Caenorhabditis elegans: one gene and its partners. The protein of the gene in region 3 interacts with the protein of the main gene of each other region in a pairwise test. Each region holds a gene or a part of one and is shown on either strand. Other genes may lie near its edges.

The links.
Region 1: the proteins of nhr-5 (region 3) and mml-1 interact in a two-hybrid assay, tested with the Caenorhabditis elegans proteins (one large-scale study listed by BioGRID).
Region 2: the proteins of nhr-5 (region 3) and ref-2 interact in a two-hybrid assay, tested with the Caenorhabditis elegans proteins (one large-scale study listed by BioGRID).
Region 4: the proteins of nhr-5 (region 3) and unc-42 interact in a two-hybrid assay, tested with the Caenorhabditis elegans proteins (one large-scale study listed by BioGRID).

The regions. Positions count from the first base shown.
Region 1 is NC_003281.10:7,369,614-7,376,244, reverse strand, and holds mml-1 (Protein WBSCR14 homolog), read left to right. Parts: upstream 1-1,513; 5' UTR 1,514-1,519; coding exon 1,520-1,791; intron 1,792-1,836; coding exon 1,837-1,940; exon of another isoform or gene 1,941-1,992; coding exon 1,993-2,252; intron 2,253-2,748; coding exon 2,749-2,950; intron 2,951-3,150; coding exon 3,151-3,734; intron 3,735-3,791; coding exon 3,792-4,650; intron 4,651-4,724; coding exon 4,725-4,930; intron 4,931-4,986; coding exon 4,987-5,144; intron 5,145-5,190; coding exon 5,191-5,323; coding exon of another isoform or gene 5,324-5,359; exon of another isoform or gene 5,360-5,514; coding exon 5,515-5,679; exon of another isoform or gene 5,680-5,726; coding exon 5,727-5,813; 3' UTR 5,814-6,114; downstream 6,115-6,631. UniProt on the Caenorhabditis elegans protein: Transcription factor that binds to the E box motif 5'-CACGTG-3', probably in a heterodimeric complex with mxl-2.
Region 2 is NC_003284.9:7,742,592-7,749,934, forward strand, and holds ref-2 (Zinc finger transcription factor ref-2), read left to right. Parts: upstream 1-1,647; coding exon 1,648-1,678; intron 1,679-3,223; coding exon 3,224-3,316; intron 3,317-3,366; coding exon 3,367-3,457; intron 3,458-3,570; coding exon 3,571-3,757; intron 3,758-4,283; coding exon 4,284-4,407; intron 4,408-4,435; exon of another isoform or gene 4,436-4,828; intron 4,829-5,574; coding exon 5,575-5,687; intron 5,688-5,738; coding exon 5,739-5,795; intron 5,796-6,587; coding exon 6,588-6,839; downstream 6,840-7,343. UniProt on the Caenorhabditis elegans protein: Transcription factor. Modulates expression of target genes by binding to regulatory elements. Required for normal cell division timing and cell positioning in anterior lineages, acting in a cell-autonomous manner.
Region 3 is NC_003282.8:15,398,301-15,406,277, forward strand, and holds the start of nhr-5 (Nuclear hormone receptor family member nhr-5), read left to right. Parts: upstream 1-1,976; 5' UTR 1,977-2,032; coding exon 2,033-2,102; intron 2,103-2,150; coding exon 2,151-2,212; intron 2,213-2,222; exon of another isoform or gene 2,223-2,243; intron 2,244-2,471; exon of another isoform or gene 2,472-2,492; intron 2,493-2,669; coding exon 2,670-2,808; intron 2,809-2,856; exon of another isoform or gene 2,857-2,877; intron 2,878-2,987; exon of another isoform or gene 2,988-3,008; intron 3,009-3,031; coding exon 3,032-3,094; intron 3,095-3,169; exon of another isoform or gene 3,170-3,190; intron 3,191-3,271; exon of another isoform or gene 3,272-3,292; intron 3,293-3,497; exon of another isoform or gene 3,498-3,518; intron 3,519-3,527; coding exon 3,528-3,700; intron 3,701-3,764; coding exon 3,765-4,010; intron 4,011-4,142; exon of another isoform or gene 4,143-4,163; intron 4,164-4,862; coding exon 4,863-5,011; intron 5,012-5,041; exon of another isoform or gene 5,042-5,063; intron 5,064-5,194; exon of another isoform or gene 5,195-5,216; intron 5,217-5,573; exon of another isoform or gene 5,574-5,598; intron 5,599-5,723; exon of another isoform or gene 5,724-5,744; intron 5,745-5,760; and 18 more. UniProt on the Caenorhabditis elegans protein: Orphan nuclear receptor.
Region 4 is NC_003283.11:9,764,019-9,771,336, reverse strand, and holds unc-42 (Homeobox protein unc-42), read left to right. Parts: upstream 1-1,980; 5' UTR 1,981-2,067; coding exon 2,068-2,118; intron 2,119-2,171; exon of another isoform or gene 2,172-2,309; intron 2,310-2,987; coding exon 2,988-3,102; intron 3,103-3,584; exon of another isoform or gene 3,585-3,657; coding exon of another isoform or gene 3,658-3,670; intron 3,671-3,806; coding exon 3,807-3,894; intron 3,895-4,304; coding exon 4,305-4,485; intron 4,486-6,191; coding exon 6,192-6,248; intron 6,249-6,298; coding exon 6,299-6,474; intron 6,475-6,520; coding exon 6,521-6,692; 3' UTR 6,693-6,803; downstream 6,804-7,318. UniProt on the Caenorhabditis elegans protein: Probable transcription factor. Required for initial outgrowth and pathfinding of axon growth cones along the ventral nerve cord (VNC).

The DNA of each region.
Region 1 (6,631 bases), on a different chromosome or scaffold from region 3:
CTAACATATTAGGGGCATAGGTTAACGTTTATTTATTTCTAAGTTTCAGAACCCTTTTCTAATTTTCTTTTTACTTCTGAATTATGATTTTCTGTTTGTTAATATGACTAGGTTCCGGAAATTCGGCAAGTGCCGAACGTAATATTTTTTTACCAAAAAAACATTTGCTACATTAGAAATTAGTTTTTTGTTCTTTTTTTGAGTTGTTTCTATAAAATATTCCAATTATTTCGGATATATTATCGAATTGTCAAAATTGTCTGATTGCCTGCCAGGTACGGTATATAATGCGCGTACGATATAATGTACTGGTTGTGCAGGTGCGAATCAAGATAGTTTTACGTAGTTGAGAGAATCATGGTTCTTATTAATACAACCTACTGTCTATTTTTGTTGAGAAAAATTGCAAACTGAAACTATAATTGTTTTGATGTAAAACAAAATAGTCATGAAATCTGTGAAAATATACGTCCTCCCGGGAGCGACCCCCGCTGCTTGTTATCATTATTATCAGATAATGGCCATTCTGTTTGTGTTATCAATCGTATTCTTCCATCCATTCTCCCTCCGTTTCGTCGTTTTCTTTTCACAAATATGTCTCGTTTTCTCCCCCTATTTCACACCAACACTGTATATCGTTGTGACTGTCGCTGGTCGACGATTCGATATATGATTTTTCCTATCTTTTTCGTCCCCCATCCTCTCCGATGTTGGTTCTCTGAAACCCTGTATCGATTGACTTTTGTCCCTGTCACACCCACAAACTGTTCAATACTATCTAGGTCGTACAAAGTTGAATTCAAATCGGATTATCGTACTCTAAGTAGTTTTGCCAAAACGCATAATTTTGTTTAACTGAACTGACCAGTGTCAAAACTTTTTGCGGGGACAAGTTTCAAAAATATTTTTCCATATTTAAAATAAATAAATAAATAAACTCGACTTAATGAAATGCACCCTATCTGTTTTAATTTTCGCACCTGTAAAAAAAACTTCTGAAATAGCTTTCTAATATCTTAAATAAAATTTTGCAATTCCATAAATAGTGAACCTATCTTTAACGCCTTTTGCAGCGGTTTTCCAAAACAATGCACAAAAAAAATAATTCAACAACAAGAGACCTAGACACTCTTTTAGTCGGTCACGTGTTGTAACAACTGATCCTCCATCGCTCTCCCCGTCCGTCCGTCCTTCGTCGTTTCTTCCTTGCTTATTGTCATCGCTCTCACACACAATTTTCCCACATTTCTCCACTTCCTTTTTTCCTAAAAAAGTTCCTCAGGGCCAAGCTATAAGTTTTTGCAAAGTTTACGAAAATGTGTAGATTTTAGTTGAGCTCACACCTTGAAGCACATAATTCTGAAAATTTGGCAATATGGGATTTTTGTTCGTGATTGGATGAATTGTAATTCCAAATAATCAATTGTACATTGTTACCTAGTAAATTTACTTTCATCCTCTATAATTCTTCATTTCACTGTTTCTACTTTTCAAAAGATTTCAATATTTTCAGACAAAAATGTCGCGCGGGCAGATTATACACAGTGGGCACTTTATGTGTTCGAATCCCCACGACGATCTAGTACAAGATGAAGATGAAGAAGATGTTGAAGTGGATGTAGTTGAAGATGATGATAAATCAATGGAAGCATCATCATCAGTTCATCATAAAAATAAGGCTCTCGACGAGAAACCGGTGACGTTTTACAAGTTTGGAGTTGGTAAAACACAGTCGATCGCGATTGATGTATCACTGAATAAGTTGAACAAATGTATCAAAGTTGCTTATAAGTAAGTTTATCTTCAATAAAAATTGATGGCATTGTTAGTTTGTAGCAAAATGACAACTCCAAAATGGAAGGATTTCAAAGGATTACGTCTTCATTGGAAGCAGAGGGTACGATTGAATAATGTTATTTGGAGAGCATATTATATTGAATGTAAGTTCCCTCTTTAATTTTATCAGCTATTGTTCAAAATCTTGTCTTACAGTTCGAAAAAAGCAGCCAGAAAAGCCGAAAAAACCATTCTGCTACTTTGCCGTACCCGACGATGACACAACACATCAAAAAATCGAGGGATCGATTGTCGAAGGAATGTATTGGAAAAGAAAAATGGAAGGTGTGTGTGCACAATATAAACGATGGAGAATTCGTTCGAAACATAATTTGGTCACGGATAAGGGAGGAATGGTGGCGACGTGCTCTTCGACAAGCGTCAGCAGTATGACGGGAGAATTGAAACGGAAAAGGGTATGATTTTTCTCGAAGCTTTTTTATACACCAAATGAAAGTGGAAGATTACCCAGACGCGAAACCTTTCGAGTTTTGCGTCAAAACTACGGTACATGGTCTCGACACGACAAATTCTTGTTTAATACATTAAGGTGTGTGCCTTCAAAGAGTACTGTAATTTCAAACTCTTGTTGCTGCATAATCGTCTGTTTCTAGTAGCGTCGGCAGATATTTGGTTTTATACAATCGAAAAAAAAACAATTTTTTCGTGTTCATTTTTTCAAAAAAAAAATCACTGCATTTTATAAAAAATTAGTTCCACTTTGAAGAAATTCCACACAATAATCTTCTATTTTCTGTAATTTCTTTTTTTTATATTTGAAAAATTAATTTAAACTTCGAAATATTTAAATGAAAAAAGGAAAAAGCGACAAGAAACATCCGAAAACAGACGAAATCGAAACAAAAAATTAGAAACAAAATTTTAATAAATATCGAAGACATTTTTTTAAAGAAACACACCGTTCCAAAAGAAACAATTGAAAGCAAGTTGCGAAGCTATGAGCCACCTGTAAAACTTCAAAGAAGTCAGACGCCAAAACACACGATTTCTGATGAATTTGCATGGGATTTTGATGACTTGGATAATGTTTTCACTGATGATTTTCTAAATTCTCTGAGTGAACCTTACATGTTTCCGGATCCAAGAGATGTTTGTGAGTTTTTTATTTTATTTTTAACTTTTGATTATGAAAGAAACTAAACATATTATGTTAGTTTTATTTGAATTTTGTAGCAGTTTAGAAACTATTTCATTTGATGGAACAAAATATGTGTTAAAATATTTTCAGTAAATCTATTAATCTTTATAAATACTTCATGCTTTATATGTCTAATCGTCAAAAACTTGTTTCAGATAGTGGAAATAACGCTGATATCATGCAGCCAGGACTCCTCCCACTACAGCCAACAATCGAGGATATCATGATGTCATTAGGCGACGATATGCCAGATTCTCCGCCATTCCACAATGATCGGGACACAATGAGAACTCCGACGAATGATCAGCCATCAATATCAGCACAACAAATTCCTCAAATGAGAAGATCTGCTTCATCTTCGGCGTCTTTGCATCAAATGCAAGTTGCTCAGGCTCAGGCTCAATCCATATCTCAAATATCTCAACCATCTCAACAACTGCAACATCAAATTCAAATTCAACAACCTGTTGCGGCTCGTCCACATGAGTTTATGGCTTCGTCGATTATGATGGACTATCGATTAATGCCGACACGACAATCATCTGCAATTACTTCACAAATGCTTATGCTCAGTCAATCCGCATCGACATTGTCTTCACAACCACAGTATGCCACATCAACACACTATAGCACGAATAACTCATTTCTCCCAATTCGAAATACAATGACAAACCAACATCATTTGGGCCATACGAGTCAGCATTCACCTTGGAATAAGCAACAACAAAGTAACTTCTTGGTTAGTTTGAAAAATGCATGAACATTTAGACAGTTTCTCGAAATTCAATAACTTCAGGTTTCCCTACCACATCAATCCCACGTCGAACGAATTCTGAATAATCAACCACCACTTGTTCCGCCTCCATCCAGATCTAATTTGCTGCCGACTCAAAATGATCCATATCTTCCTCAATTTCTTCAATCCACTCAACCTACTCCACAACCCCAATCTCATGATCCAATGATGGCTCCATCGAGATCATGGTGGCTGGATAGTCCGTTGACTGCAAGTGTTCAATCACCATTATCAGTAGCAACACCATTGCCTCTTGCCAATCAAACGGGACCGCAGACTCCATTGGGTCAGCTTATTGGGAGTGCGGACAACGGTTTTTTATTCGGTGGAAATAATACACCGGGTGGATTTAAAATGAGTGGGACTACCAGTGGTGTTCCAACTTTATCACAAAGATTAGAACAACCTCCAATTAGTCGAACTTCAACAATTTTTGGAAATGTCGAGAATAAACCTGAAAGAATATTCACTTCATTAACATCACAGAATACACCAACACCATCTCCTCTGGATATTTCTAGCCTTTCTCGCTTACGCACATCATCTCTCAATGAATCATGGAAAATGAGTCATATAGTAGAAGGATCGCCTACTTATCAAGCTTTTGCTGCGTCGGTTACCACGAAGCCGTCAATATTAGAAAGTCCTTCAACATCTGGAGATATTAGTGGTCCCGCGTCAGTTCCAGTACAAGCTTCACAGCATCCACCGAAGATCATCACACCACCGTCGGCGTCGTCAAAACGAAAAGAGCAAGAAGCAGCGATGGCGCCATTAGTGAACAGGCAGCAGTCTTGTGATGTCAATCTACTCAATGGAAAAATGGCTGTGAAGGTCGAGGAGAAATCCGGAAGGCATTGTAAGCATATTTTTTAATGTTTCTTCACCAAAGTTATGTTATCTCCAACTGAGTTTAAATTAAGTAAATTTCAGACTTACCAACCACACCCACCGAATTGAAGGAAGTAACAAAAGAAGAACCACTGTTGATGAGTGCACCATCAAGTGTCAAATCAATGCGACGACAAGCTCCAGATTCCACATTGCACCCAGAAGAACGCAAAAGAATATTGCATTTACACGCTGAGCAAAACCGAAGAAGTGCACTGAAAGATGGATTCGACCAGCTTATGGATATTGTAAGTTTTGGTTTTTCTCATGAAATCTCCAATTCAAAATTTTATTTTTTTTCCAGATACCCGATTTGTATTCTGGCGGTGTTAAGCCAACGAATGCTGTCGTTCTAGCCAAGTCAGCGGATCATATTCGAAGATTGCAGGCCGAAAAATGGGATAAAACACAGAAGATCGACGAGGCCAAAGCGAAAATCGAAAAACTGAATCAGAAAATAACGTAAGATAGTTTTTTGTTGAAATATTTTAAAACTGTATCAATTCAGATCCTTACAATCAAATCTTCCCCAATCGAGTGCACCATCCAGTTCATCACAGGTGGACTCGAAAACTTCACTGGAAACATTTTTCGATAGATATGTCAAAGAAGGCGCGAAAAAGAATTGGAGATTTTGGGTGGTAAGTTATCTAGCAGAAAAGTTGAAATTTTTTTAAAATCTATTGCTGAAAAATCGAAATATTTCTCCACCAAGGTGCACATCCTTTTGGCACTAAAAAAGAATTTATCACGTCGAGGCCCGTATTTTTGACAAAGCAACCGCAAAAATTTTGAATTACTATTGAGACAAATTAATACAACTTCATAATAGATGTCCCAAATGCTGAAACCAATCTGTGTCACACAAACAAACTCTTTCGCATCGTCTGTAGCAGGAGACTCGTCGTCAAGAAATGAAGTAGCCGCCTCGTGTTCTGATTGGCTGAACAAAAATTGGAAAGCCACAGAACTTCGGCCGCTTGCGAGTACACTTTTGGTAAATATAATATAGATACTCATTAATAATCAATTTATAAATTTCAGGTCTCTCTTGCAACCAACTCGAGCATTCTCGCCGAGCCGGACACTCTTCCCGATTATGTCATGCAACAACTCAAAAATCCATTTTGAACTGCTCATTATAGAATCATGTTTATTGTTTTTAACATACGATTTTTCTGCGTAGATTTGTTTAGATTTTTTGAAATATCTCAGTCCCTTTCATGTTGCCATAACTTTTTATCCAGGATTCTAATCATTTAGATTCAATCACGGGTTTTTTTCCCACTAGCAGCCACCACAGAAACAGCCCTCGTTTATATGTTCGGGTTACCTTTATATTACAGTTTGCTCAATTTCTCATGTATTAAATGTACATTGTCTCTACCTCTTCTGGTAATTTTAAAAAGAAAGAATTATACATTTTAAATTTATCACTCTCGACGGTCTTCATTTTCAAACACATCGAATAATACCGAAGAAAAAATTTTGTAGCAATAGAAAGGAAATTTACAAAAAAAAATCACGAAAAAAGTTGATTCGAAACAACCTTCTTCCTTTAAAAAGTAAAAATTAATTAGAACTTTACTAAATTTATTTTTAAAAAAATTAATGAACGTTTTTCAAAATACAAATAAGTGTCTGAAGATTACTGTAGTTTCTAGCTCTTTGCTGCATTGGTTTTCTTCATTTTTTATAGTTTTTTTTTCGTTTCTTCGCACCTTTTTTGGAAAATCTGAACTTAAGAATAATGAAAGGTGCAAAAATGTTGTGGCAACATAAAATCCAAGAAAATTTTGAAACAATGTGGATCTAGGAACTACAGTACACCATAAAGCGTAAAAAATTGGAGTCTACATTTCAATTTCAAAAGTTTTGACTCGAAATAAAAAAAAATGTCCAAAACGTTTCTAAAAGTTTGTATTATGATATTTAGTTATTTAAACATC
Region 2 (7,343 bases), on a different chromosome or scaffold from region 3:
TTATATTGTCAAAATTATCGAATATCGTTGTAACACGTTAAAAAAATTTCAAATTGATTGAGAGTCAAATAGGGACAACTTCTGAAGTTTTTGCCACTTTTTTGAAAAAACTATAGCACTGTCGCTTGTAAATCATAAGTAAATCATAAAATCCGATGGAAAAACGTTGTTTTTTATCGATGACTTCCGAACCAGTGGCAAAAACTTAATAATTACCTTTTATTGAAAGTATTTTTTAAAGTTTAATTAGTATATTTGGTCATTTTGGCATCATATGAATGATTTTAACAGTTTTCCCACTGCCGCTGCTTCACTTTCAAACAAAATCGGAGGATAATTGTTGAATTTTAAATGGAATTAAATCAAGTTTTGCAGAAAATTGCAAACGTTTTTCTTGAAAGTGTATTCTGATAATTTTCCTTGCACAAGTACTGACCTTTTTCATACAAAAAATAGTGGTTTTTAAAACAACTTTTTGTCGTTTAAAAATAATGAAAACGATTTGAAGTTAGTATGAATGAATAAAAGTTCGCAGGTGTAACAATTATTTGTTCTAACTCTAACTTTTTCATTAGGACACGATAACAAGTTGCCACGAAAATATTTTCATCATATCTTTTACAAAACAACCTTCTTCAAAATTTTGCAACCAATTCATTGCGTTGTTCTCGACGCAATTGAAAACCGATTCCATTAGAGTATCATTTAGACGAGAGTTACGCAACAAAACGATGAATTCACGAGTCTTGACTCGTTTTGCCTCAAGGTCTAGTCGATCGGTGTCGCGTGCCGCTGTCACCACTATAATAATCCATCAAATCTAACACCTTGCCGGCAACTGAACTTTCTTGCGGTCTGTCCTTCTTTGCAACAATTTTCTCACCTCATCTCCCTCACTTCATTGTATAAATGATTACAGATGAGGAGATATCATCGTTTATCGAAACACGCCTTTTCGCGCACTTTTAACTGACAAGCAGACGAAAAGTCAATAGTTTTGAATGACGGGGTACTGTAGCGGATGCGCTGTTTTCAAACCAGATTCCACTAAAAAACGTTACGAATGAGGGAATGTAGAATAGAAGTAGTGTTTTGTTTTTGAATATTACCGAACGATGAAAAACAGAAAACAGATCATGATTAATTTGACGATTGGCCTCAAAACTTTTAACTATTCATTTTTCTGGTTTTCCTACTTACCGCATTTCATTAAAACCAAAGATAGTTTGCAATTAGATCCTTATTTTATTTTCCCATGCAATACATTCACAGTGAAATTTTTCCCATTGACATTGGTGGGAACACGTGATGCCCCACTATGCTCCAAATTTGATATCGCCCACGCGTACAAATCCGAATAATTCCCAGATACAACCATGTTCCAAGTAGACAGGCATGCGTTCCCATGGCTGTCAATACGCCCATGATTCTCACGCATATGTATATAAAAACGTTGTACTAGAATCTCAAACTGCTGAAAATTTTCTGATTTTCAAGAGCATTATTTTTATGATCTGTTTTCAATTCTGACCACCAGTTGCATGACTTGACCGACTTTCCTACTTTTTTTGTAGTTTCTATTTACAACACCTATTTGAGAGCACTTGGAGCACAATACTGCAACACATGCTCTCCAATTTCCACCATATGTCGATTCCAGCCAACACTATACAAAAAGGTAATTTCTAGTTTTTTTTTAAATATTAGTCACCAATCGAGTATTAGAGAATATACGAGATGAGCTAATTATTACCTCGAGATGCGGTAGAGAAATGATTTATGAGTCTTCCGAATCAGTTGACCAAACGTTTCTGTCACCTCATTCTTGGCGTGTTTATTATATCACTGCAGTGTTGCATTGATTTTGAAACTGTAAACATTTTTAAACACATCTGCAACAAGATGATGTTGTGTACAATATTTTAATTAGTTCTAACTGAATTAACTTTTTTTAGAGGTGGAGTACCGAAATCTGACTATGCATTTTTAAACCTAAAATAACCCAAAACTACCAAATTTCGTAATGAGCCACTTTCAAAATTTCTCAAAAAAAAAGTTATGCCGGTTCAAAGTTCTGGAGAAAGACCCATTTTCAGCTAAAATCAAATTTTTTGCCACCTTTTCTGTGTCTCAACGTCTGGAACTTGATTTCTGTTTAATTATGACTCTTTAATAAAAATTGTGGTCTTTTATTAGGAATTTATTTTTTGATGTAAGTGCATTTTCGGCCGGTGTGGCACAAAAATGTAACTTCTATTTGTGCCCCACTAGCCGAAAATGTTCTTAAATCAACGAATAAACTCCCAATAAAACCCTCATTATTTTTTCTAGAACTTCGGACGTCATAACTTTTTTTTTGAGAAATTTTAAAAACGTCTCAAATTTGGTGGTTTTGGGTCATTCTGGGTCTAAAGAAGCAAAGTCTCAGATTTCGGTACTGCACCATCAATAGTTGTTTTTGTTTCATTTGGTTTATACATGTTTCTGTATATTTCAGACTCATTATTTAGAGCTTTATGCATTTTCAAATCACGAGTAAGCAAATATAAATGACTAAGTATATGATGCCTTTGTTTTTTTTAAACTCACTCATTTCAAAACGAAACAAATAAAAATAAATTTTTGGAGAAATAAACACGTTGATTTTTTTCAGTAATATTTCCTAAATTTCTGTGACAGGCCTTGAAAAATACAATAAAACTTTTATATGAACTTCAATTATTTATTGATACCCCTAGCCATTCAGAAAAAGTACACATTTAGTATTAATTATACAATTTTCAGTCTAATGACAAACCCGAAATCAAGTGTAACAGTTTTCAATTTCCATCGATAAATGTCTATTTGGCTGTCTGTGTGTCTATTTTTTCCATACTTCAACGAAAAAAACAAAATCACTGCCTCCAATATTTGTGTTTGTGACAGCCGACTCGCCCTTTCCTATTCACATCGTCGTCACTTCGCTCCGCCCATCTACCTCAGTTCTCACCAATCCGTGTGGTAGGCGTGGCCGTTACCACTAGAGACCACGCTCAACTAACTGGAAAAAACATTAGCTTACTCGACTGACTTCCTACTGTCTTGAGCTTAATATCTGGTGTCATCTTATCCATCTTTAAACTTTTTTGTATAGTTGTTTTCTTAGCAGTTACCTTTTCCTCACATGTTCTCTTTGGTTGCTTTTCTATTTATTTTAAAAACATTTACAGAACCTTATTTTCAGACAAAATGATGCATAGTGACTATTATACTCAGTCACAAGGTCCTACAGTAGAGCAGCAGCCAGAATGGCAAGCATCTGTCCAACCATATTCAGGTATGTAAATGAAAAATAAAGAAAACAATATACATTTATCTATATTACAGATCCACATGCTTACTCTCCGAGCTTCTACATGAACATGTCACAGGTGCCTCACTTTCTTCCAGCCCAAGTGGATCCCTTCATATATCCAAAGTAAGTAATTGTAGAGACTATCCCCAGTCAAATATTTGAAAATCAGTTTCAAATCATGCAACCCTTCCCCACTCCAGCTAGTATATAATTCAAGGCCAATCATCTTATTTCAGTACCCTCGGCAGTTACGGTGGTGACAAGCAAGTGCAATGTTTATGGGAGACCAATGGACAAGTGTGTATGCACGTATGTCAGAATTCAGGAGAATTGTCAACTCATATCAGTTCAAACCATATCACGCATGACAGCAAGTTTGTATGTCTTTGGAAAGGATGCGACCGAGAGTTCAAAATGTTTAAGGTATAGTTTTTCGGATAAACTCAATAAGATTAAACTCAAGTTTGGAACTTTAATATCAAGCCTTCTCTATTAGTCACCTACTTAGATGAAATACTATTAGAAAATGTAAAAATAATAATGATGTAAGTGGCTGTACTACAAATTTTGAGCAAGTTGTTTTTTTGGAATTTCCTATTCAGAATTGAATTTGTTTTTAGCTACAAAGTAACTTATTTCCCAACTATATGTAAGCATTGTTCAAGATGTATCCAACTTTTAGTAGAGGTGCAAACTAATGGAAGCGTCATCCTAATAGAGAAAATACAGGCTTCGAGTCATTCCAAATATGTCTTGCAAGTCCAACTGACCCGTGCTTCTGCACTAAACACTATCGTCTACCCTTGTTGCGTCATAAGTTTTAATTGTGTCCGATTTCTATTCTTGGGTGAACACGGTATTAAAATAGGTTCTTCCCCTGCAATTATGCTCATTTGCACCTTTGCGTAATCCTGAATAGAACTCAATACACGATATGCTTTTCTTGCAGGCCAAGTACAAACTGGTAAACCACATGCGAGTGCACACTGGAGAACGTCCGTTTTTATGCGATGTTTGCAACAAAGTGTTCGCAAGATCCGAGAATCTAAAAATCCACAAACGAATTCACTCAGGTATGTGTGATATTTAATACAAAATAACGAGAGAGTGGTTGTTGTTGTAGAAGGTGTAATAAGGGATTAGCATAGGTTAGGTATGCTCTTAATGAAATGATACATGCAATTCCAATGTCAAGTGTCAAACGCAGGTGATAGATATTCCTCTCATCACTGAGCAGCTCTTGAGTTGCCTTCCACACAAGCATTTGCTATTGAAAAAGCAATAATGATTCCGGGCAGTATGACCAGGCCCTTTTCATAATAGAACCCACACATTCATCATCATGAATTCCAAAGCAGGGAAAGGGGGTTATTCTTCGATCCGCAACTTTTGAGGATCGCAAGATTTACGATGTCAGTAACTCCTATTGTCAAGCAAATCTCGAAACGATCCTATTGCTTCGCTTTTGTGATAATCTCGCCTGTTTATTATTCACGTTCGTCGTTTACCGTAATCCGTTTATGGTGAGGGGGAGACACTGATCTCAATTGTTCCATTCTCGGGATAAGTAGAATGAAAAAAAAAATAGTAAAATCTTTGAGAAAGAAACACAATTTTCCTCAAAAAACATCTTCTAATACTTCTATAACGGATTTGTTTGACTTCCTGACACCACTAATTATGTGATGAAAACCTTTGAAAACAAGCCGATGATTATCCTTGTGATGATGCTCTAAGTTACATAATGTTTAGTCTAAAGATTTAGCTTCCGTCTTTTTGATCCAACCCGCCGCTTTCCACTTGTGAAAGATGGACAGTCCCAATGATGTAATAGTACATTTTGGATGGGAATATTAGCATTTCTGAATGTCAATGTTCAATTGCATAATTAAATTTGATTGAAATTTTGACTTGGAAAAGCCATTGATTTCTCAAAAATTACCATTTTGAGCAGGTGCAGCTGCTGCATTCATCTGATTTTTCATTTTTCATTTTTCATTATCCTAGTGCCGTAGCAAGAATATTCTAAGAATATTCGAATATGCGAATGCCTCAGCTGTCTCACGGGTTCTTGATTTATTGTATGAGTGCAGCTATCCTTTTGAACTTTAGCACCATATCTAGCACCTGCTAGTATTCCCAACAGAAAACTTATCTCTATAGTGAGACTGGAACAATTTGTAGCACCTGTACGAGTGTACTTCAGCAGCCATTATGATGTGAGTAATTTGTTATTTCAGGAGAGAAACCATTCCAATGCACACATAATGGATGCACAAAACTGTTCGCCAACTCTTCAGATCGCAAGAAGCATATGCATGTACATTCTAGTCACAAACCTTATAGTTGTATGGTAGGTCTAGATAAACCCCAGTTTGTTATTTAAAAAAACTGTTTTTTTCAGTACCCAGATTGTGGAAAAACGTACACGCATCCAAGCTCGTTGCGCAAACACACCAAGGTAAGTCGTGTGCCTATTGTCTCCGGTTTGAGAGGATTACATGAGATGAGGGAGAAAGATGGTATAGATGAGCAGGGTTCACACCTCTCATCGTGTCGATTTTTGGAGAGATGTAGTAAATCCTTGTCAAATTTAGGTACCCAAATTCTTGCTGAATCTTATGCGGTATGCAAGTGCTATATTCAATTTATCAAATTTTGATAATTGGGCTAAACTTCTCTTTTTTTAATTTGAAATACCATAAATGTTATTGACAAATGTTTAATTTATGCATTTTGAATTTTGGCCAACCTTCTTTTAGAACTATCAACATTTAGAAATTTTTCTTCGCTAATAATTTTTTGATACAAATTTTATCAGGGTATTTTCCCCATTTTTTCAGCTTGTTGCAAAAAAGTTTTTTAAAACAAGCTAGTTTTATCTCACATTTTCATTTTGTAGAATCTTAGCGGATTACTGTCTTTCCTCATTAATCTTATTATGAAAAAAAAAACAGTATGAAAATTTGATAATTTGTTTTGAAAAGAAACTAGTTCTTTTCCACATACACACTCTTAGTCACCGCGCCTAGCACTTCTTACCGAACCGTGCGCGAATTTGATTTGCATTTATGGCGTTTCAAATGAGACATTCCTTCATCCACCCATTCTATTCAAAGAGAAAAGTAGACAAAAAAAGAGATGAGATGATTTTACAGTACTCAATTCTCTAGATTCAAACTTGCCTGTTTATTTTATTAAATTGCAACCACATAAAAAACTAAAACAAAACGAAACATTCTAAAATTTCCAGGTTCATGAAAACGAAAAAAAGAGTCAATTGTCTCCGGAACATGACGAGAGTAGCGATTCGGGAAATGCGTCAATCGGAACACCAACCACCGACGAGAGCTTGACCTTCTCTCCTGAAAACATTAAACGGGATCAACATCTTCATACGATGCACACGTTTATGGATCGACCCAATCCTTTTATGCAAATGTATCAGAACCAGTTCTCCAATCCTACATACCATATGTTTATGGCAAAACCTGATTCCTACTGAGCACAAATATGCAGAAAATACAGTTTATAGCTTTATCGATTCCTTAACTTTTCTTTACTCATCACCCCAACCATGATCGTGTCGTGCAATTTCAGAGAACATCCCTCATATACCTCCCGTGATTTGAATTTTAATGTTCCTTTTTCTCCGAAGCCTCCTTCTAGCTCATTGTATCTATTTCCGGGTACACTGCTCATTTTGTTCAACATTTCTTGCTCTGCTTCAACATCCGCCTATTATCTTTTCAATAGGTACTGCTTTTGTTGAATTCTTTCTTGACACCTCCAATAAGCAAAACGACGTCGGTTTCTCTAATTGCTCCATTCTCTCTCGGATGTGCGTTTTCGTTTGAAAATTGTTGGCATGTTGCGGGATTGTCTTTTCTTTCACTTTCCAATGTGAACTGATATATATTGATGGGGTTAAACTTGAAAACTGACATATTTATATTTGCCTTCCCTACATTGCGTGGTATTTCATTCTGTATTATCACTTACGAACTTG
Region 3 (7,977 bases):
TCAAAAAAAAAAAAACAAATATTGCTTCAACATTCTCATAAACCCTGTTACTTTTCAACGGTAATAATCTTGTCAATTTGTGTTAAAGCCGCAAAAATGTCTTTAATAATATTTCAAAAAATTGATCCAAGTTTTCCCTTTAGGACTTTAGGACTTACGGTAGAATATTTTAAAAATTGCAACAAAAAAAAAGAATATTGTTTCACAACCTCCATAAAATGTTCAGTGTTCCTTTAATCCCATTCGTATCGTTTTACTTACAATTTCCATTTTACTGAAATTAAAAATTTTCTCGTGATAAAAACGATTTCTGATATATTGCGAAGGCCAAATCGATCCAAATAATCAATCACCTCCAAACTTTGATCGTTCAACGCAAGAAGCCCGCTTAATTTGAAAAAATCGTCGTATTGGTCAAGTTTCAACTTCCCATCACTTTTCTCTCTCTCTCTCTCTCTCTCTCTCTCTCTCTCTCTCTCTCTCTCTCTCTCTCCACTAAATACTTCCAACCGCACAGTTCAAAGATAGAAGATATTTATTCCATGAGATAGTGTGCTGGACTGAAGAGAATCAGAAAATCTAGTCTTCTGATCAGAGAGAGAGAAAAAGAGACACATGACCGTACTTGACGGCGACTTGTTTGTCGGTAGAGGGGGCCTGATTCTTTTTTGTATTGATTTCTCTCTTCTGGGTTACTGATAATTCACTTTTTTGGAAGGAATTTTTGTGTTTCCGCGCAATAATGTTTTTTTTCTATATTTCGAGAATTCAACTTAGGTAATCAACAAGACGAATACTGCTGCTTACAATTTTTCCAGATCCCATAATTTTGAAACTGTAATAAAATTAACGAAAACATTTATTTTTTTTGCTAGCAGATTTATTAAGGGTTTTTGGTAAAAATCAGGAGGTTGTTAGAAATATTAACTTTAATGAACTTCAGAAAACGGTCTAGAAAATTTGATATTCCAAAATCTCATAGCATTTGCTAGTAAAAACAATTTAACAAATAAGCATCACCATTTTAATAATTACTGAAACAGCAAATTTTCAAAAAAAAATTACATAAAACTAATTTAAAGCGTTTATAATTTATAATTCAAAAATGTCTACTTTTTCTGAATGTTCTTATATTTTGAAGTTAAGTTTCTCGTTATTACAAAGTTGCTTCAATGTGAAATTTATACGCAAAAGCTTTGAATTTTGGAATAGCTTCTTCTATTTTTTCTGTTTCGAAAAAATAAAATTCGATAATTTTTTACCGAATTTTTTTTTGGTGCAGAAGAGATTTTAGAAACGGTAGAAAATGGTGGTTTTCAAGAGTTTTCAAATTTTTATTTTTAATAAAAAGTTATGTATTTTGAATATCCCAAATGTTCAGTTAATTTCAAAAAAAATTGATTGTTAAAATTCACAATTTTCTACTTTTTCTGAATGTTCTCAAATTTTAATATAATTTTTTGGAATCAATAATTGTGTCATATTCAAACTTACCAAAAATTTCTTAAAAGTGTATATAAAACTTTTCTGGAATAGCATTGCATTTTTCATCGTTTCAAAAATAAGACTTTTTGATTTTGGTTTGATTTCTAATTTTGAAAATGATTTAGAATAATTAAAATTTTGGTGAACACCCCCTATTGTCAGTAATATAAAATCGGAGAAATTATTGATTTTTTGAAACAGTAATGACACTTTTTGAATACAAATTTTATTTCTTCTGTAATATTTGTTGTTAATTATTCTATTTTTCCCATAATTATCCTTTTTTTTTTTCGAAAATCTACTTTCAAAGAATTTTTTGTAATTTCTTAATTGATTCCAGCTTATCATTTGAGATACCAAAAAAACCAGATATAGCAATTTTATAACAAGACAGGCATTAATTCACACTCTCATTGAAACAGTGGAATTTTTAAATTTTCGATTTTTTGAATCTTCTCTTCAATTTTCTTTTCATCTAATCATTTTTTTTTCAATTTCAGATAATCAATCTCATTGCAAAGTCTTTCAATTTAATTTGACATCAATTATGTCTTCTGGCGGTAACAGTTCAAATGTGAATAGAAATTCTGGGAGTAGCAATGTGATTACTTTGAATGGTATGATTCCCTGTTTGACCAAAAATTTTTAAACTTTAAAATTTTCAGATTCTGACGAAGAAACCGAGGACAGCAATTTGGGCAGCAGCTCGTCCACAAATCTTTGCAAAGTTAGTTTCAAATCTTTGCAAAGTTAGACTAGTATTGCACAAAAATTTCTAAAATTGTTCTAAACTTTTTGAAACAGTAATTTTTTTCCTATAAAAAAAGTTTCCACACTTTTAAAAGTTCCTCACTAAAATGTTCTGTGACCAATTTTTGTTTTATCGGATTACGGAATTTAGAGTCTGTTTGCATCATTGAACCACTCACAAAGGGGCACATATTTTGAAAAATCACGTGAGTTTTCGTATATGTAGTTAGGACGGGAAAGTTTTTTTCAATAAATTAATATTATTGTCTAAAGCAATTGCCATTCCTGGAGAAGGTGAAACAGAGCTTTATAAATTTTAAATTAAGTTGACAAAGATTTAAATACAAAACTTATCCTGAATCTTCGTTGCTACAAGTTGCAAATTCCCGTAAATTAAAGTAAAAAAATTATGGGGCACATCAATTACATTTCAGGTATGCGGAGCCGAAAAAGCTGCTCTTCACTACGGAGCACTGAGCTGTGTCGGATGTAAAGGCTTCTTCCGTCGGGCTCTTCTGAAGGCTGATCAACTGGAATGTGCTGCAAATGGAGAGTGTACAGTTAGTGTTTTGCGTGAGTTTGACATTGGGAATTGCGCAGTTTTTTACTTTTTTTTACTTTTTGAAAGCTATCAAAGTCATATTGACATTCTGTTTGAGTCAAAATGTATATTTTAGTGTTGAAACAGTAAAAATTATAAATTCGTTAAATAATTTTAATCATAAAACCTATGCAATTGCGCGCTTGAAACAGTTTTTCCTTTACCAAAGTCAATTTATTGTGTTTTTTCTTTCAGAGAAAACCCAATGCAGAAGCTGTAGATTCAATAAGTGCCTACGCGAAGGAATGAATCCTGCTTGTGAGTTTTATTTTCAATCCAAAATTTTTGGAATTTTTTATTTATTTCTATACGATTTTTAAATCGTGACATAAGTTCGAATATACATAAAAATAAATCGTTTTCAGTTAATACCTGAAAGTAAATTTTATTCTTGAAACAGTAGTTTTTTTTTTCAATTTTTGATTTTCCAGACTTTATACGTTTTGTGTTTTGATATCAATTCAATATTTAATTTTTCCGTTTATAATATAGCAAAAACAAAAAAAAATTATGCAGTAAAGCAGTTAAACATATTTGGAACAATATAGCAGTTTCGAATGTATTAAATACTATTGAACTCCCCTTTTTAAGACAAAAATTATTTCAAAAATTTTCAGTTTCAAGTTTCCCATAAATGTTTCAGCTTTTGTTTTAACGGTACTCATCCTTCAAATTTAATATGATATCTCAGATGTCCGCCCAAACCGAGACGCACCTCCAAAGCCACGTAAGCCGACAACTACAGTAGCCACGTGCGATCAAACTGATCGTGGTAGGACCACAAAAAGCCGCGAGGAGTGGATGAAAAAGATGACGGTTGAGATGAGAACAATATTAATGACACTGTTGAATATTGAGACAAAAGTAGGTATTTCGCGCGGGGGCCTCGGTTATCGTCGGCTGCTGACACAATTTCTATTAATTACAGGTAATGAAAGGAGATACACAACAAGAAGCATCAAAACTGTACCCGCTGAAAGGAATTGATAAGCTCAGTGATATCATTGAAACACCGATTCAATTAAAAGGAAAACGAACAGAAATGAGATATGAAGCATACAGAATGGCTGGAAATGATGAGTTATGTGCAATTGCCTATCGGAGGTTGATTGCTGCAATTGATTGGGTTGAATCGCTGTCACCACTGTTGGGACACCTAACGCCTCAGGATAAGGTAATAAATATTCTTTGCAAAGTGAGAAAATAATGGAATTTAGAAAAAATAAGTTTTAGAAAATTGAAAAAAATAAAAAAAAAATATTGCTTCACCCTATTTATTTAACTGACGTTTGTTTCTACAAAGCGCTCTCCATTCATTACTTGCTACATGGCTTTATCCTCAAATTTAGTTTTAAAGTGGATTTAATTATAATTGCTAGTTTTTCTTCAACTTTCTGGCCTGATACTAAATCTCTTTGAAAAACTTTGATTTCGCTGAAAAAAAGGTGAGAAGTTGACACAGAACACCTTTTTTCAATAGTTACTGTTTCAAAAGTCTTTAAAAAAAAATTCCAAAATTCCGAAATTCCAAAATTTTATTTTTCAGGATTTTTCTAATGTTGACTGCAAATACACTTAAAATAAAAAACTGCGTGGCGTGTACTGCAGACAACCTAATATTTAGGCCCCGCCTTTTTTTCGTCTACTCACGGGATAAAGGCGAAATTCGGGACCCCAACCAATATCATACCGCCGACATCTCACGGGTTCCGCGCGCCGCTGCGTTTAACTCGCTGTGGGCGTGGTGAGCTGTCTCCGCCCGCTGCGAGTTAAACATAGCTGCGCGTGGAACCTGTGAGATGTTGGCGGCCTGATATTGGTTGGGGTCCAAATTTTTGCCTTTTCTCCGTGAGTGGACGAGAAGAAGGCGGGGCCTAAATATTAGGTTTTCTGCAGTACACGCCACACAGCTTTTTTTCATTTTTAGTGTAACATCATTTGCACAAAAAAATTGGTTTCAAATTGTTTTCAAAAAAATTCCCAATTTTAACTTAAAAATCACGCTTAATTAATAATATTCCCTCAGATAGCACTGGTCAAATCTTCATTCGCCCCACTTATGGTCTTCAATTTTTGTGCGAGAACAGCAGAAGCTTGTCAGGATGAGAATGTTCTATGCCTTTGTAATTTTGCATATGTTCCACGGAATATATCAAAAATGTATGAGGACACATAGTGAGTTTTAGTTTTTTTGAATTATTTTCTTGGACTTTATGAGAAGTTTCAATATTAAATAGAATAGCTAGCTAGAATTCACTAACAATGTGAAACAGTAAACATTTCTTATTCATATTTGTTTATAAAGTACATATGTGTCCAATTTAGGAGCTTGACGGAAAATTAGCGAGGCAATCACAAAACCTTACAACAATTTGAGAAACATTTTTTCCTAATTTCAAACACAAAAATAATGTTAGTGTAACAGTGAAATTTTTTAAAAATCAACTAAATTGTTTTCTAGGTATTTCTTCATTTTAGAAATGAATTTCTAAAAAAATTCTTTTTTGTTTAATTGATAATGCCAATTGAGAATATTACTTGTACAAATGCTTTCACGACTTTAAATTTTCATATGTACATATGTTCTTTGCTCTTATTTAAGACTTATGACGCCACGCCACGTTGTGTGAGTTTGACAGCAAATTAACGGGGAAATCAAAAAATAATAAAATATTTTGATAATGCCATTTGAGAATAATACTTGATTTGTCTATATTTTGAAGACAATTTTCACTTATTTGGTTCGATGTTCTTGTAATTAAAGCCTCAAAAAGATCATGCACTTTTCAAATAAGTTTGAAACAGTGAACAATTTTTCAACTTGAAATGTTTATTCTCGTTCCGTTTCGGTAAACTATTATATTAGTCAGCATTTTCAAGAATTCATTACTTTTGTATTTCTTAAAATCATTTCAAAATTTCAGTCACCTCGGCAACGGACTCGTGGAACGTGCTCTAAATGAGCTTGTAGCAGTATATCGGGAATATGGTATGAGAGAAGAGGAAATTGTTTGCGTGAATGCAATGATTTGTCTGAATCCTCTGGCAAAAGATGTATCGGATTCTTTGTTTGAAAAGATTGTTGAGCTGAGAAATCGAATTGCTGATTGTCTTTTTTCAATTGTTAAGGAGGTTCGATTAAGTCCGACACCGAATGTATGTTACGGACATATACTTCTTTCATTGGCTACTGTTACAGTAAGTTCATATTTGTTTTATTTGTTTGACGTTGAACAGAGTTTTTAAGGGATTTGAAACGTTGTTTTATTTTAAAAATTGATTTTTTTAAAAATGGTAAAACTTTTTTTCCGTTTCGTGTAATGATAAGCAACAATGGGTTTCGAGTGATTTGTTCAAGGCGCTTTAAACGTTATAGGCTTTTACTGATTTGACGACGAGAAAAATATTTGTAGAGGGTTAACTCACAATTTTTTTGGAAATGTTCAACTAGAAAGAAAATGAAATTTTAAAGTATTAAAATCTTAACTTTGCTTCTACACAGTCACACATTTAAAAGTTAAAATTTTGAAAATCTACCGTTTCAACAATGTTTGATATTCATTTATTATAAATCTGAACTGTTTGTTTTTGGATTCATATTTACTTGCCTCATTCGAATTTATTCTAAACTACTTTTATAGTTCATAACTTCTCCAAATTCATGTTCCCCAATTTTTGCAGGAACTAGCAAATGCGATGAGTGAAAATCTCCAATTTGCTCAAACATTTTCAAATCAAGGAGAAATTCCACTTCTCACTGACTTATTCGGCTGTTTCACAGTTGAACCATTTTTCAAAGAAGTCGACGAGCTGGCGGCAATGAGTTTGGAAAAGGCGAAAGCTGAAAAGAAGAAGGAAATGAGTACACAAACTGATAGGTTGCCTCCTCCAAGAGCATTATTGGTCAGTTTTGATATGAATTTTGAAATTTCAAGAAATTGTAGAAATACATTGTTCTGCCAAAAAAAATGATTATTTTTTTCGATTTTTTTTTAAATTATAGTTTTCAATAATACAAAAGAGACCAGACTCGCAACACATTTTAAATTAGAACATGATTTACATTAACTTGACGAAATTGTACTTTTTTTTGAAAAAAAAAAGTTTACTGTTTCGTGGCTATCATTTAATTCAATACCAGACTCTTTCATATTTTATGCAGTTCTCTAACCGAGTAATATTTTCAGAAACGACAAGCAACTATCGATGAGGACAGCGAAGAACCTGCTCGACAGAATTTTCGACTTTTGCAGCCTCCAAACAATTTCTACATTACTGAAATGTTGGATGATTTGAGGGTGAGCTATATGTTTTTAGCATTTTTTTTTCGTTTCCTTTGTGTTTGCAAGTTCCCCATGAGACATAAAGAGTCTGAAATTTTTATGAGTTACTTATTCTTTTCACAGTTTTCAAGTGATTCAAAATACCAGTAAGTTAATATGAAATATTTTTCTTCATAAGCGACCTGCACATCATTGTGTTTTTCCATTAGTCATTAGTTTTTCAAAACTAGTTGAAACATACAATTTTTCTTGAGAATTCCAATTCCAAACTCTTCCGTTTTGTTTTTTTTTTAAATCTACTTTATTTATGATTTAGTTTTGAAAACGAATCACATAAAGTGAATAGAAGTTTATCAATTTTCAAATTTATTTTTTTAAACAATCAAATTGTTATATTTAGCTAATAAGAAATGATTTTTTTAAAACTCACCTAATGTTAATTTTTAGAAGAAAAACAAATTATTCTACATTTTTATTAAAAATTTATTATGTTCCATCTGAAAGAAGATAGAAATTAAAGCTGAAATTATATAACTGATATTTATAAACGTTTTGAAACAGTACGAAATTTGTTTTTTTTTTCAAATTCTTATTTCTCGACGATTTGTTATATGGAATAGCTTTAAAAATCAATTTTATATTAACAACTCGAGAAACTGAAAATTTTGAAACAAAAAAAATTAAATCAACTGTTTCATCTACTCTATATTTTCTTTCCACTTTAAAATTTTTTTAGTTCGCTCGTGTTGGCAGATAATTTCAATTTTCAACATTTAAATGTTTTTAACACTATTTAAATCCTTCAAACAAGAACGTTAATTTCTAAAAAAAAGTATTTCTAAAATTAAATCAACTGTT
Region 4 (7,318 bases), on a different chromosome or scaffold from region 3:
GTATATGAGCGATGCTTACTGAAAAAAATAGAACCGTATCTTAGAGAAATCAATTTTTGGAATGAGAACCAGCATGGGTTCAGACCTACAAAATCAACGATCTCTAATCTGATGAATAGTTTGAATGACTGGACAAGCAACCTAGATCTGGGAGCCCAAATTGACGTCATATTTAGATTACAGCAAGGCATTTGACAGAATTCCCCACGACATTCTCCTCAATAAACTGATACGCCTGGGACTGAATAAACATATCATAGTCTGGATCAATAGTTTTCTAATAGAAAGGACATTTAGAGTTAAAATAGGAAATACACTATCTACTGTAAAAAACGCTAAATGTGGGGTTCCGCAAGGCGCTGTACTCTCACCAGTTCTTTTTGGAATTTACGTTAATGAGATCCCAACAATACTGCCCGCAAATGTTAAAGTGCAGCAGTTTGCAGATGACACCAAGCTGTATGTACACACGCCAAAAGGCGACCAGATTAATAGTCTGCAAGAAGCAATAGACAGAGTAGCAAATTGGTCCGTCAGTAACAAATTGGCTCTTAATGAACAAAAAAACCGTCCATCTCACGATAGGGAAAAAACGCCAAAATTTCACTTATAAGATAAACGGCCAGGATATCAAAAAAGAGTCAACGACACGTGACTTAGGTTTTATGATCTCTCATAATCTGGATTTTAGTGAACACTGGAAAAAGGCTATTAATTCCTCGAAATTTCAAATGTCACAAATTTTTAACCATTATAACAGTAACAAACCAAAGCTGATGATCCTATTATATAAAACATTTATTGTGCTTTTGCTAGAGTACGGAACCGTTATAAGTAGCCCACCAAAGCAGTCAGATATAGGAGCCATCGAGGCAGTTCAAAATTCGTTCACAAGGCGTCTATATAGTAGGACTGTAGGCAAATACGTCTCAATAAGTGATCCGGAATATAAAACCTCGACAGAAAGAAATGAATTATTTGGGCTCACACCGCTGCAAGGACGACGTCTGACAACCGATAAAAAAATGATTTTGAAAATGTTAAACGGTAAAATAGATCTGAAAGTACCTGAATTTTTTACCTTCTCGGACAACACTAGAACGCGTTGTAAAAGAAAGTTCTCTTGGAGCAGATGTAAATTTAAAATTAGGAAACATTTCTTCGTTAACAGAACATTAAGCCAACCGTCATTCCTCAAATTTTTATCTAATTTAAACAAGGATAACTAAGTTAGGAAACGAACGACATCTACTCTTGATCAATAACATTCATTCATTACTATCCTATGATATCTCCTGTTTTTTTATCCTACTCCTTCTCATGCTCTTTTTCTACGCCTCAGGTTCTTTCACTTTGCCCATAATCTCCCAGTCCACCCTCCGACATGAATCTTTGTATGTATCATCTTTTTTCTTTTCACGCTTCTTCAAGAACGTAATAAATTATTATTATTGTTATTATTAAATGACTACAAACATTCTGATTACATTTCCCTTTTTTTAAACATATCGCAGCATTTCTACGTTTAAATAATTCAATTAATTATTTTTAGCGTAACTGAGTATTTTAGTTTAACCACAAATTAAATCCCCTTTCAAATCGAACCCACAATTTTTCCAACCCAATTTGGATTTAGTCCGTGTGTTCGTGTGGGGTTCGCCAGTTGAACTGCTTCTCTAATTGCGATTATCGCCACCCGGCTTCAGAGTCCGTCCAAACTCGATTATAGCTTTCGCTCTCCACCGATCACTGAATTCGTTGCCGTTAAGTGTAGAAGCTCAGTTGAAGAATAAGAAGACGGAAAGAAGAAGCTGTCAAATAATCTAATTTACTTGACTCTCTCAAACCAATCCAAATCAAAAAGAAGGCGTGGCTACCTAGCTCTTCTGGCGGAAAGATGGGTACGGTGGTTGGGGCCGGTGGTGAAGGAGGAGGAGCAGCCGGAGGCGGACGGCGACCAGTCAGCTGCCCCTCTCTTCAGAAGCAACCCTGTCCGCCTCCACGACGACGTCGACAACGACTTCGGTCACCCCTCACTTTCCACATTTCTCCGCTTTCACTCACACAATGAGCGACAATCTGCTGAACGGTGCGAACGGAGCATCAACTGTCTCACAGGTAATTTGCTAACTAATTCTAGTCTCCGAGGCCCTCGACGCAAACGAAATAAACAGTAATACGATTTGGTGGCGCCGTCGGTCGTCGCCGAGAGCTCCATAATTAACTTTTCTGGCGCGCACAATATTCTTCGTCTCCTGAAGACGTTGTCGTTTTTCGGAAGACGACTGGGAGGAGTCCAAGTGTGTGTGTGTCTTCCCCTCATAAATTCATTATGGAAATTTGATTGTTAGATGCTCTCACGATCAGTGGCACACACACACACAAACCTCCTCAGTTGTCTTCCGGAGCTGGTATCGATAGCCTTCCAACTTTTCTCGCCTCCAATTTCCCTAGAATTATTGTTCAGCTCGCCATTTTAATTGATGTTAAAATCAAAATCACAGACTACCGTACCATGGACATCAATAATTTAATTCACAAGAAATAACTTTAGACATGGGTTTGAAAAAACTAAAAGTCCCACCACAAACACCGCTAAAGATCTGATCTTGGTGTGTTCAATCCTAAAGAAGCTAATGTTGGACGGGGTTCTAGATAATGATCATACAATACCTCGACACTGATGTCTGATTTTTTAGTCACAAAAAAGTTAAAAAACCAACTGTATTAGTTTATATTAGTTTGTAAGTGGAACCGAACATTTTGAAAAATAGATCTTAAGCCGGTAGAATCTCTGCTGAAAAACTGTTAAGTCACTGAATTTTTATTAGTCTTCTTGGCGTTATGTTTTACTTTAAAGTTCTAGTGTTACTGTGGATTTCCTTATTACCGTCCTTCCATTAATCGATTCCAACAGATTCCTCAATTCACCTTACATTAGTATAAAAACGTTCTACTGGAACCTACATCATGATCTATATTTTCAGTTCCAAGAAAAAGTGAAAGATCTTGGAGTATCTCTTCACGATTTCACTGCCTACTATCCGAGCTCTTTGGATACAGTCTCGGCAAGTCTTCGTCCAATTTCGGATCCATCATCAGGTTAGTCTCTACATTCCATCTTCTTTTTTTCTACACTGGTAGGGAGGAGCTTCGCTTTAGCAAGGCGAACAAAATTACATCAGAATATATCAGATTTGCGGAATCATATTTGATGTCTCTCCTTCGTCGTCCGCATGCCAGTTCATTCCTTGCATCAGTGCCTTCTAGGTTGAGCAAAAGGTCCTTCTGACCCTGAGCTTCTCTTATTATTTCGTTTGATATTCTCACCTATCCCAAGATTCAGCAAAAACCACTTCAAGTGTTTTCTTTATTAGTGTTGCGCAATAGCTTCCGCCAAAGGTATCATGCTGTGTTAGTACAACTGATACCCTTACCATGTCCCCCCGCCTTGCTCTTCCCCTCCTCAATGGTACTTCACATCTCTGGAGCATGTGCCACCGAGCCAATTATGACGCCTGTTGCCAGATGCTCACTCTTATCCATCCGTTCTATTGTATCCACTAGTCTTGACTTTGTGCGCGAAGTGTCTCTCTTCTTATTTACTATTTTAGTACTTGTGTGAGCAGATTTAGGAATTAACAACTCAATCTAACAATGTATTATTATGGTAAGACAATGTAGAGAAGGGTGTCATATTTCTTTGATTATTCCTTGCAATTCACACTAAGAATTTCGAAATTCTGCATTCCTCCGAACATCTGCCCACTTTCCATTTTTAAGCCTTAAAACTGGTGATGTTGCAGATGGCGCCTTCAAAAAGATTAAAACCGAAGGACTCGGTGGCTCGGTATTTGGATCTTCGATTGCTGGGGTCACGAACACGCCTGCAAGGTGAGTATTCTTAATATTTTGGAAGATAGGGGTACGGTAGATGTAGAAGGGATTTGATGTATGTAGGTATTCAATGTCAAAATAAGGCAGTTATCTAGATTTCATTTATTGAAACTACTCCAAAAACCCAGTTTTTTAAAAGTAAATTTGGCTATTTACCAAACCCTTGACAAAATATGTTTGCGTTTATTATTTTTTTGGCCACTATTTGGCCAAATTTAAAAATTTAGAAAGCCAAATATAATTATACAACTTGAAAGAGCCAAAATTTGACTTGTGCCGCCTATATTTTCATATCTTCAATTTCTATCAATAGTCAAGTTAATTTTCAACAAACTCTACCGTACTTCTCACGTATTTTCTTGCCTTCCCCCACCCACCTAGTGCTCCACGGCCTTTCTTAATTGCAGGCTGTGTAGCCTAGAACGGCCCGAATCAGAGCGTCTCAATTCCAGGCGGAGACATCGGACGACATTCACTCAGGAACAACTTCAGGAGCTTGATGCTGCATTCCAAAAGAGTCACTATCCGGATATCTACGTTCGAGAGGAATTGGCAAGGATCACCAAGTTGAATGAAGCTCGAATACAGGTGAGCTTCGAAATTAAACTGTATGCTCAATTTGTGAGACATGTGCTCTAATTTGTTGTTTCTTTCTCTTCTTCATATTCTTTATCTTCTTCCTCACTTCTTATTGGTATTCATCTCGCGTTAATTGCTGCCTTTGGATAGTTGTCTACCACCTCCTGGTCACCTACTGTGCGCTAAATCCACCACGCACCATCACACATCTGGTAGGGATTAGATATTGAGCTTGTGAAGCTGAGAAGAACAAATTGAGACAAAAAAGTCAATCTGCCATAATAGGGAACTTATACAACTTTTAAAATTAAAAATTAACATAGATGTACAGAAATAATATATAATTGATTAAAAACCATCTTGAAAAGTTTGATGAAGGAATTTCTTTGAAGTATCCGTTTGTAGAGAAAAGAATGCACACATATTTGGTAAACGACAATGTTCAGCCGGTAATAGTTTTTTGGATTGTTCAACTAAATTGAATATAATTTTCGAATTAATCTGATTTTTTTCTGCGTTTCGAGCTTTATTTCTTAGTGCTGAAAAGATGGGTTATCGTTCCTAAATTGACGGTTTTGTGGAATTACCAATAATGTTTTCAGCACATCTTTGACTTCAAATAAGCTTCTATTTTTTGGTGATTAAGCTTTCAGTTCTGACTGTTTTCTTTGCGATCTACTGATGTAAGTTATCTTTTGCTATTTATAAAGTTCTCTGAACTTTTTTCTATTTATAGAGTTCTCTGAACTTTCTAATAAAACAAATAAAACTTTGCCTAGATTCAATGATACATGCTTAAAACTTCTCACCCTTTCTGATTTTTTTCATTGTCTACCTACTTCCATATCCGTCATACGGTATCCTTTTTTTTTAAATATTCATAATAATAATAATAACAACTCAAAACTAGTGCCTTTGAATCTCTAAAACTCTTGTTCAAAAGAAACTCTCTATCACCAGTCTACCGTAACCCATCGTCTTCTTCTCTTCCAACATCGGCGTCTTTGTTAGGAGGCAAGCAAATTGAATTATGCTCTGCCTTTGCCGCTTTCTCAATATCCTTCCTCACCACAGCTTTTCCCTTATTCTTGAGCAGTCTATCAACATTTAGAAATACAGAAAAAGGAAATGAAGGGACTTGATAAAAAGAAAAGAGAGTGTAGCGAGGAACAGAAAAGGAAAGGAAGGATTAAAGATCCGGAGACAGTAATACTTTATGACGTGACTTTTAAAAACTTTCTTTGGTTGGATTGTGTGGGTATTAAGATACTTTTGAACTTTGTAGAATCTGAAATAAATACTCCAATTATTTGTTTACATACAATCTTGTAGAATTTGGTTGTCGTATATACCCAACAGTATACATTATTTTAATACTAAATTGCGTTTTTAATTAATTACTAAATTGCGCCAAAATCACATTTATTCATTTTTCCCTGATAATTTTAAATACAATGTTTAACGTAGAATTATAAATTTAAATACATTTCTGACTCCAATTCGTAAAATTAAAAAAACAATGACACACTAATGTATTACTAGATATCTTGTTTCTAGATGTAAGGATTTCAGGATTACTGTAGCGTATTCACACTTCCTTTACTTATTGCGTAACAGTTTTGCCACCTGGCTGTCTCTACTCCATCCCTCTAGATCTGACTTGATCATACTCATACTCCCCACTAATTTCTCGAGTAATCCAATTTTGTTTGCAGGTGTGGTTCCAAAATCGGCGAGCAAAACATCGGAAGCATGAAAAACAATTGAATAAGGTAGGAAGATGACGAATATATTCTGAATTCATCAAAAAAGTTATTTACAGGCAATCAATCCCCCGCACTCATTCCTATCCAATCCAGCGAATACTTTGATGCGACAAGGAATGTACCCAGCTGCATTGAATCGTGACGGTTTTTGGTATCAATCATATCAACGACCAATGCCATACCCAACAGCTTCTCCTTCATATTCCAACTCGTTCACTAATCCCATTGCAAAGTTTGTTCGTCTTTTTACTGTGGGATAAATATTTCGTTAATTTCAGTTTCGGTCATTCCATCACCTCTTTCCAAGCTGACGACGAGTTCTACCAGAAAAGTTTGGCACTTCGAATGACGACGACACCATCGGCCGCTACAGCTGCTACCTCACTTGCTAATATTAACTACCAGCAGACACAACCATCTGAAGCTAGTACCAACCCTCCTTCAATCTAGTCATTAACATTACAACCAGACATTTCTAATCTCCAAAGTTAACAGAAAATCCAATAATTTATGATTGCGTGTGAAATCAATTGAACAAATAATAAAGAGATCTCACTGATAGACTAATGTTGGTACGTACATTTACAAAAAGACAACGGTTTCCAATAAAAATGTTGAGAAATATCACAAAGGAGTGGGAAGTCTACGAAATGGAATGTTTAACGCGACTGATGATAAATACAATCTTACAAAACTTATCTGCCTTCTTCCTGTATTAAATATCCGGATCCTTTCCCGTTCCGCGTGTCACAAAATCACTTCTATTTGGTTTTGTCTTGTTAGAGAAATTTTGAGTAAACACCAAAAAAAAATGATTTTCGTATTTTATGTGGTTACCAGCCGCTGACCGCGCCTACGGCGCGGCCAACTCGTTCTCAGCACACTGCATTCAGTAGCGTACTCGTTCTCAGCACACTGCATTCAGTAGTTCTGGTATTGTTATCACAAAACATAATAAATAAAAATGACATGAACCGCCCATTTTAAAAGGAATTTTTTTGTTTCCATTAGGGAACAAGATAAATTCTTAATAGAATTTGGTGGCGGTGAATCGTTGTGGACAATCTTAGTCGTGA